2 linked regions of the Arabidopsis thaliana genome follow. The protein of the gene in region 1 interacts with the protein of each later gene in a pairwise test. Each region holds a gene or a part of one and is shown on either strand. Other genes may lie near its edges.

Region 1 (5,182 bases):
CATTTGCATCAGTTCAAACAAATCAATCCATGGATCCATAACCACATATTTTGATTCAATCAGTACACAAAAATCGAATCTTTTTCTACAAGCATTGCAAAAAAAAATCTGATTTTTAACAGAATAAAATCGTTAAGAACTAACAAACGGCAAAATGGTTACCTCTTCGTCGATCTGATCAAATGAGATATCAAAAAAAGAAACCCAAAATTGAGAAGAGAGAAATGCAGGTTGAAATTGGAGCTGAGAATAAAAAGAGAGAATCAAAGAAGTCGCTGCGTGAAGATGAAGATGAAGAAGAAAGGTAATGATTACGGAGCACGATTGATAAAAAATATCTAACGCTTTCGTTTTTTTTTTTTTATCTAGAGCTTTGGTGGAGACAGTGGGGTTCCACTTTGGCCTGTCTAAATTATTGTTATAATTTCAAATTAAACAGCTAATCATTGAAAGATTAGGTTTTTGTTAAACCAACAACAATTCTGTTTCTTCTCTTCTCTATCTCACTAAATTAAGGTTTTTTTAAGTTAGGTGTTTTTATGTTCTTCTCTAATACTATGATTTACATTTCTAATAGAGACTTTAATCATGCAACTTAGTATTCTTTGTTGGTAAATTTTCAGAATGATTATGATGAAAGTGGTCTTTTATATGCTTTTTAGATTTTAGAACTTGATTTATTTATTTAGGCTCTAATGGTAAGACAAATAGAGAGAGAATACAAGCTTACAGGAGAAATAAACCTGCCTAAGAATAAAGGATACACAATTGACTATATAATATAATGAATTACAAATCTGCAAAAACATGGAAATTTTTGGAATCAACGGCGATGAGTCTGACAGCTGCAATGGCTGCAGCAACAGACATCAAACTAAAGAAGACAACGTTAAGCCAATGCCATAGCTTTTGCATAGCATTCAGCTTATTGTTCTTTGCCTTATAGTACATGTGGTTGGCTAGAATGAATGTGAGAGGGAATGTGCTCACTGCACCAGTTAGGCTCATGAAGTCACCGAGGAACGGCAACAGCGCTGAGATAAGCGTGCTTACCGCTATGTACCCGCCTCTCGCCATGATCCTAAACAGCAGGTTCTTTATCGCAAATGGGTTTCCTTTGATCCCATACTTTGTGTCCATGTACTCATATGTTGGACTCGCAAATATCTACAACAAAGAATTGAGTCAGACATATAGTTAGAGACGACAGTCTTTGTTAAAAAAGCGTAGACTTGGCGCTAAGAAACTTACGTGCAAAGAGATAACAGATTGAAGGATAGCAGAGACGTTAGCAAGGGCTTTGACCCAGAGTGGGCCATTAACACTGTTTAGTAGATAGGTCGAGGTTGAGGATCCATAAGCCCAATATCCGATGAATGTAACTGCGTACATCGGTAAAACACCCGCTGTGAATTGAAAGTATAGAGCCTTCATCATGTTTTTAACAACTGGTTGCCTCACTGTTGCCTAACATTGTGGAAATTATAGTGTCAATATGATTAACAAACAAACTTTGTTTAAGATGCAGGTTTTACTTGAACAAAAGGTACACTAATACATAAAAGCAAACACAAACAAACAATTGAACTTTGAAGTCTAGGGAAAAGTCACCTGAATTTCTGGAAGCATCCCGGTGTTGAATGCGAAAACCAGATTTGCGGCTGCTCCTGTGATGGTAAAAAGTTTGCTCAATGATGATCCTTGTATCTCGTAATCTCTTGAAGGTGTTTTTACTCCTAGAAACAAACAAAACAAAGCAAGAATTAGATTTTTGCAGTAGTTAAACTCATTAGTAATGTTGAATCTTGATGATCATTTGATTAGTTATACCATCTCTAACCGATAGCACGATTGCCACAACAATATAGATGAGACTGAGGAAGGTCGAAACTCCAAGCCAGACCCCAAGAGCCGATAAATGAGGAATCCCAATAGCGAAAATCGCACAAATCAAACCAGCAATGGCTATAAAATGAGGTAGTTTCATGGTATGATCATCCCTGAAAAGCACATAAACAGCCTGCAGAAACAGAACACACAACCAAAATTAACTAACTCGTCTAACGAAATCAAGAATCAAGAGAAGAAAATGTTTTACTACCTTTAAGGCGGAACCAGCTAGGATAATGAATCCACAATTAATCATGAAAAGATTAACATATTGCAATCCCCATGTAAGATGATAAGCCTTCCTACCTGATAAAAAGAGAGATCATTCCAATGAAGGTAACAACAGAGAAGAGATTAAGAGAGCTGGTTTGGTCTTTTATTTACCGTAAATGAATCCAGCAAGGTCTCTATAGCGAATGTGTCTTCTGCCACCAAACTCATGAAGCTTAGCTATTAGAGTGTTTGCATAAAGAGAGATTGCAGTAGCAATAAGAAGACCAACCACACCACCAATCCAACCTAAAGGAACCATAATTGTTCCTGAATATCCCAACACATACGCGCTGTTTATACCGGTGGTCAAAACGAACGCCACCTGAAACCATGAATCTGCACATTCCACAAAACATAGTATAAGCTTCCCAAAACATGATCTCAGTTTATAGAAAGCAGAGTTTTGGCAAAGCAAGAAAATTTCCCAATCTTATGGTTCCAGGATCATTAAAGAAAACATTTTTTCAAAAGGGTCATCGTTAAAATCATCAAAGTCAACATTTTGAAGTAGTCAGATTCTACTTCTTCTTCCTGGTGATACCATTTTCATATTTTAATCAAAAAAAGCATTAAAGAAATTGAAATTGGGGAAACAATCTCCGTACATTTAAAAAAAACAAAACTTTTTTCGACACATCTAAGCAAACACATTCTTATCGAAACCAGATTGAAAAACAAAACAACAATTGGAACAGAGAAAAACAAACCGCTGCTAATTTGATGAGCAGTGTCAGGGATTTCGATATCAACAACGTCATCTCCATCTCCGACATTGATTTTGCGATTCTTAGCTTCGGTGGCGGTCATGTTTGCTAAGAGACTTTCTCTTTCTTCTTCGTCTTCTTCGTCTTCTTCGTCGACCACATGGAGAAATTTTGAGAAAGCCAGCTTTTATAATTTTTTTAACAAAAAAAATTCTCTTTTTTTAGCGAATTTTATCCTTCACTAATATCGAAACTTTTGATTGAAAGAAAAAGCGAGCCCAAGAATCCAGCTCGATTCGCAACTGATGTTAAACAAAACAAAAACAATCTAATTGATTAGAAATCGAATCGAAGAACAAAAGATTGATTCTTTTTCTTTTTTTTTGTAATTAGTGCTTCTTTCTTACTTGTGACAGAAATCTCTTTAAAAAATTGGTATTGGTGGGTCTGAGCCGTTGAGGTTTCTTGTCTGAATTTGTTGTTTTGCATGAGAGATCGATCCTATAAGAATGCCGATATTTTTATTTTTATACTATAAAAAAAAACAATTTATAATATAAAAAAACATATATCTGCCTTATTAATGTCTTTCCATTTATTTGAGTTTTTTCTTATTACTTTCTGTTAGCTGGTATTTTTGTCTAGTTGTGCTATTTTGAGTCTTTGCCAAGTTTTGCTTATTTTATTTGAATTCATCATTTCAAGAAGATATAATAATTTTGCTGACGAATAATAAATGAAAATGTACGTGAACTAGGGAAATATGGATTTTAAGTGAGAAAAAAACAAACTATTTTAGTACTAATTGTTTGTTTTGCAAACTGATTTTTTATTTAAAAATATGGAACCATCTAAACACATTAGATTTGTGTTGTTGTCGAAGCTACCTTGTTGAATGTTTGTAAGTGATGATCTTCTCAATCTTTACGATATTAATTTAGTTATATGTTATTCTCAAGCTACCAATTTTGGATACAGTTTTGTTTTCTTAATACTTTACCAAAATATATCTAGGTTGAGAAATACCCGATTTATATACGTTTGTACTTGGCTTTTATGGTTTTTCTTAGATTATTTATATAAGTTTGATATGGAGAAGGAAACACGTTAAGTAAAACTATTGATAGTGATTTGTTTTATAGTTTAAATAAAAGGTTAAGCTGATCGATATGCGTGGAAAACTTCTACATCACACTTAAAAAAAAAGTTTATACCTAAGTTAACATCTTACAGAATGTGCATCTTTAGTCTCTAGTCAAATGATAATGTCTTTGACTCTCGATCATTTAAAACTTCAATACATTCTCTTTTACACAATTTTAATATTTTTTTTTTATCTATAATAGAAAGTTCTTTTGCCTTTAGAAAATACAGTAAAGTTTAAAATTGATACTATGAGAAAAAATTACAGTTGGGATTTTCATCGAATTTATCGATATATTGTTTAATTTAATAGTACAACATATTCTAGAGAGCAAGTTGATTGGAGGCGGAGCCATGCAAGTTACAGTCTATTGGCTGAGGTTAATGGCAGAAGCCAGAAAGGACACAACTTCCTATAAATCTTAAACCATTTGGAAGTACCAACTCAGACTTTATACATCTCCAACTGTTCAAATTAATTAACGGATATGTTTTGAATCAATCTGTACATGATTGCATAATAAGTGACTTGTGTTTACTGAAATCATATGCCACTCACTGACCATGACACAAAACAAAATTCTTTGCAGAGAATATAATACAAATAGATTACCAATCAATAAAATAATTATAAATAAGTATTTAGATGTGGATATCGAGTTGTCGACTATAGTGAAGTTTCCTTTTCTTTAACAGTAGTTTTTGTTCCAAGTGGGGTTCTAGATGAATATTGTTTTTGAAGAAAAAAGAACATATTCATGACAATTTTAGATTGAGTTAAGTTCCAAAAAAAAGTTTTACATGGTTACAAAAGCCTGTATCATTTAAGGCAAAAATTGTGATTTGGCTAATATTACTGATATTGTATTGATCATACACTCGTGCAGTTGAGTTACCGCTTTAGATGTTGGTACTTGGTAGTAATATTAACATGCATAAAACAAACGTTCCTTTCTATATGATAGTTGAGAAATTACTTAGGAATAAGTATATCTCGTTTATACCCTAGATGCTGTGAAGTGCCTTAATAATGGACCATAAAGGAGTCTTACTGCTGTGGACGCAATTAGTTTCAAGGTCACTTCACAACAACAAAGTCTAGAATATTCTATAAGCAAACTTTGAATTACTTTTAACACCGAAAAGAAAGAGAAAGGAGAAAACATCTTTTG
Region 2 (3,312 bases), on another chromosome or scaffold:
ACATATCCAGAAACTACAGACCATGTCAAAGTGCAAAACCAAGCTCTCAGGAATACTTAAATGAACCTTCTCTGCGACATCATCGGGATACTTTACCACACGCCTCTTGGTTATCTCACCGAAGCAGAATTGAGCAAAGCTTCAAAGGATATGTGTGATCTGACACAAGCCGGTTTTAACCTGGATTGGTTGCAGTCAAAGCTTGACATGGTTTCCTTGGAGAAGAAGACTTCTGAAGAACGGATTCTGGAACTCAAACTAGAGGTCAAGAAACTCGTGATGACTGCGACTGATCTCAATAGTGAGAGGAAAAAGGAGAAGAAGAAGTTGAAGAAGCAACCAAGCTGGATACACGCAACAAAAGATGGGCGACTATATTTTAATTTTTTCTAAAACACTTTAGAATAACATAATGGTTATTTAGGGTTATCTAATCTTTTTTTTTTTTTAATATTATTATTATGGATTGTTTATCTAGAAACAATAATCATGTATTATTCGGAAAAAAACATAATTAGATACCCCTACGTTTTCTGTAGTAGGTTTTCTAGTTTGTTTTACTTTATACGACTTTTTATTTAATAGCTTGTCAGACACGGTTTGATTAGGGCTCTCTTGGGTTTCTTCATAGATGCTCATATTAGAAGAATGAATGTGTTTAAATTTACCCGATTTCAATTGGCTAAAACTGGACTATTAATGGGCTAAGAATGGGCCAGCTTAAAAGTATTTTTGATAAAGGTATACACAGATTGCTAAAACAAAATTGTTTGAAGACACTCACTATTAATGAAAGGTAGAAGTGGGGTTTGATTTTAGATATCAAAACCGAATATTCTTTTATTCCTCACACACACATAGGAACACACCTGAATGGTGCATCACACGGGATAACAACAACACACATTCAACACAAACATGACGAAATTAAAGACAATAAACCAAACTAAACCGGAAACAAAGTAAACACGGAACATAAACATATAAGAGCTATAGTAATCATAATCTGCTGATTCCGAGGGGAACCGAAGCTTGCCAAAGGATCGAAGTTGCCCAAACGAGGGATAACAAAAGACACATCAAGCTTGTCTTCATCAACCTTCATGCAATCTTCATCGCTCCATTCACACACAATCCTCATCATCATCATCATCACCATATTGATAATTATGATATTGGATAATGATGATGATGATGATGATGATCATTTACACAACACCCACACACGAACATTCACAATCATAATCTCCAAGAGATCTCTTCTTCTTCTTACCTTTTGTGAGTACTCTTGTGTTTGGGGCCATCCCATAAAGAGAAACTTGAACCTCTCAAAACCCTTTATTGGTGAGATCTTCTGATAGATTCAGAGGGTTCTTGAGCTTCAGTTTCTTTAGGGGATGGCCATATTTTGTGTGTTTGGTGTTGTGCCAAAGAGAGTTTCAACAATGGATGTTGTTAGGGTTTTTATGGCTTCTCTCTTTGTCTTTGGTCATGGAGACAAATTATACAAGAGGTTGAATACACTCATTACATCGATTCAAATTATCATTTTTTTATATTATTTTGGGAAAAAAGTGGAAGGAGATGATGGAAATGGGGAAGTCCATGTAAAGATGTTGGGAGAATTTGGATCTTCTAAAAGGAATATGCCAATTACCAAACATGTGTGTTTTAAAACAACAAAACCATCTCATCACTCTTTATTTTACTAATAAATCATATTTCTTTCATTTAAGTATGCAAGTCGGTAGAGCTCTATCTGTCTTGTTCTGTTCAATAACAACTGATTAATCACCTAAAATCCATTAAGAAAATAACAGAATTGATCCGCATGACAATCTTGTCCCCAAGCTTAGTTCAGCTGTTCGGACAAATATTATTGGCTCGATCTTTAGTACCAAAGCTCGTCTCAAAGCAATTGTCAATCATATCAACTTATAACTTAGCTCCTTCACTGCATATTTTTTTTTATAAATTACGCCTAGGATTTTGATTTCCGATTAATTTCATTCTAAGAAAAAAGATTTCATATCCTTGTGAGTTGAGATTAGACTTATTAGGCCATGGTTATTTCAAAACGTTTAACGTATACAAAAGGAAACAACTCTGTCTCCAAGTAATTTACACATTCTCATTCCAACCAAAGAATAGTAGAATACAAAAAACGAAAAGTTGACACTGCATATACAATAGCAACGAACCTAGTTATGTAAGGTAAGCCAAAAAAAAGAAGAGTTTGATAGAAATTTACCTTACACAATTAGTTTTCATCATCTTTTAGTTGTTTTTTTACCGGCGTGGTTCATTCATAGACTTTCCTTCAAACAACTCACCCAACAATCTTTCAAGATCTTCAGCTGTATACTTTATGTATTTCTGAGGATTCTTCCCACTCTCAACCAAAGGCCTGCATCGATCATAGGTTAAAATCTCATTTAGGTTTTTTTACATTTCAATCAAATATTAGAAAAGCCTTCGCAGTAAAGAGAGAAAGGAGATTTTTACCCAAAGCGTTTGAGGAATGATCTATAAGCAGGCAATAATACTTCAGCAACAGCAAGTCTTAGTGACTCTCTTAACTCTGTGTCTGGAACTGTCCATTGCGATTGTCTCTGATGCAACTCATCAAACTGCATATTGAACATCTTGAACCTGTTCCATTTTTTTTTTACAGATTTATCATCATTACCAAATATATAAACATTTGCCAATTACTGTGTTTATTTTACATGTTTAGGACTTACCTCTCTTTTAATAATCCTCTTGAAACTCCACTGCTGTTTCCTCCCTCTAAACTTCCTCCCCCAGATGAGGTCAAACCTTGCGCCGATGAGCTTTGTAGTATCTACAAAATATGTAACAGTTTCTTAGTAACAATTTAATGAAATTTTATATAATAGTGTTTCTTTACAGAGTTAGACAAATAGACAGAACCTTTGTCCAGGCAACTCTTTTGTATTGGTTTGCATGTTGCTGCACGATACGCCTATGTCTTTGAACCCAATCATCGCCTAACAAATCCTTGGCTTCTGACCTGAAAAATTATCATATGAATAAAGCTAAATGAGTGCGTTCTTTTATTTTTTTAATAAAACCAGATCAGCCTTTAAAGTTTAAACGAGAAAAATAATATACCTGCGCACAGATCTGACCATGTAATGAATGTTGTTCATCAGGAACAAGTGTGTCAATGCAGGATCTTTGTACTGTTTCGATTTTCCGTCCAAGTTGTTTTGAAGCGCCTGCATTATCCGCATCGTTACGGATGCTAGCTGCGAATTTGAGTCATCTCCATTTCCAAATTCCAAGAAA

Evidence for each region.
Region 2: the proteins of PROT1 (region 1) and AT5G03545 interact in a protein complementation assay, tested with the Arabidopsis thaliana proteins (one large-scale study listed by BioGRID).

What each region holds. Positions count from the first base shown.
Region 1 is NC_003071.7:16,653,810-16,658,991, reverse strand, and holds PROT1 (proline transporter 1), read right to left. Parts: upstream 3,416-5,182; 5' UTR 2,971-3,415; coding exon 2,871-2,970; intron 2,645-2,870; exon of another isoform or gene 2,500-2,644; coding exon 2,275-2,499; intron 2,197-2,274; coding exon 2,102-2,196; intron 2,021-2,101; coding exon 1,831-2,020; intron 1,737-1,830; coding exon 1,612-1,736; intron 1,468-1,611; coding exon 1,252-1,467; intron 1,168-1,251; coding exon 790-1,167; 3' UTR 580-789; downstream 1-579.
Region 2 is NC_003076.8:892,894-896,205, reverse strand, and holds AT5G03545 (expressed in response to phosphate starvation protein), read right to left. Parts: upstream 1,625-3,312; 5' UTR 1,160-1,624; coding exon 947-1,159; 3' UTR 689-946; downstream 1-688. Other genes in the region: AT5G03550 (MATH domain/coiled-coil protein), read left to right, coding at 61-393; EXO70A1 (exocyst subunit exo70 family protein A1), read right to left, coding at 2,290-2,407, 2,506-2,652, 2,745-2,845, 2,935-3,034, 3,136-3,312.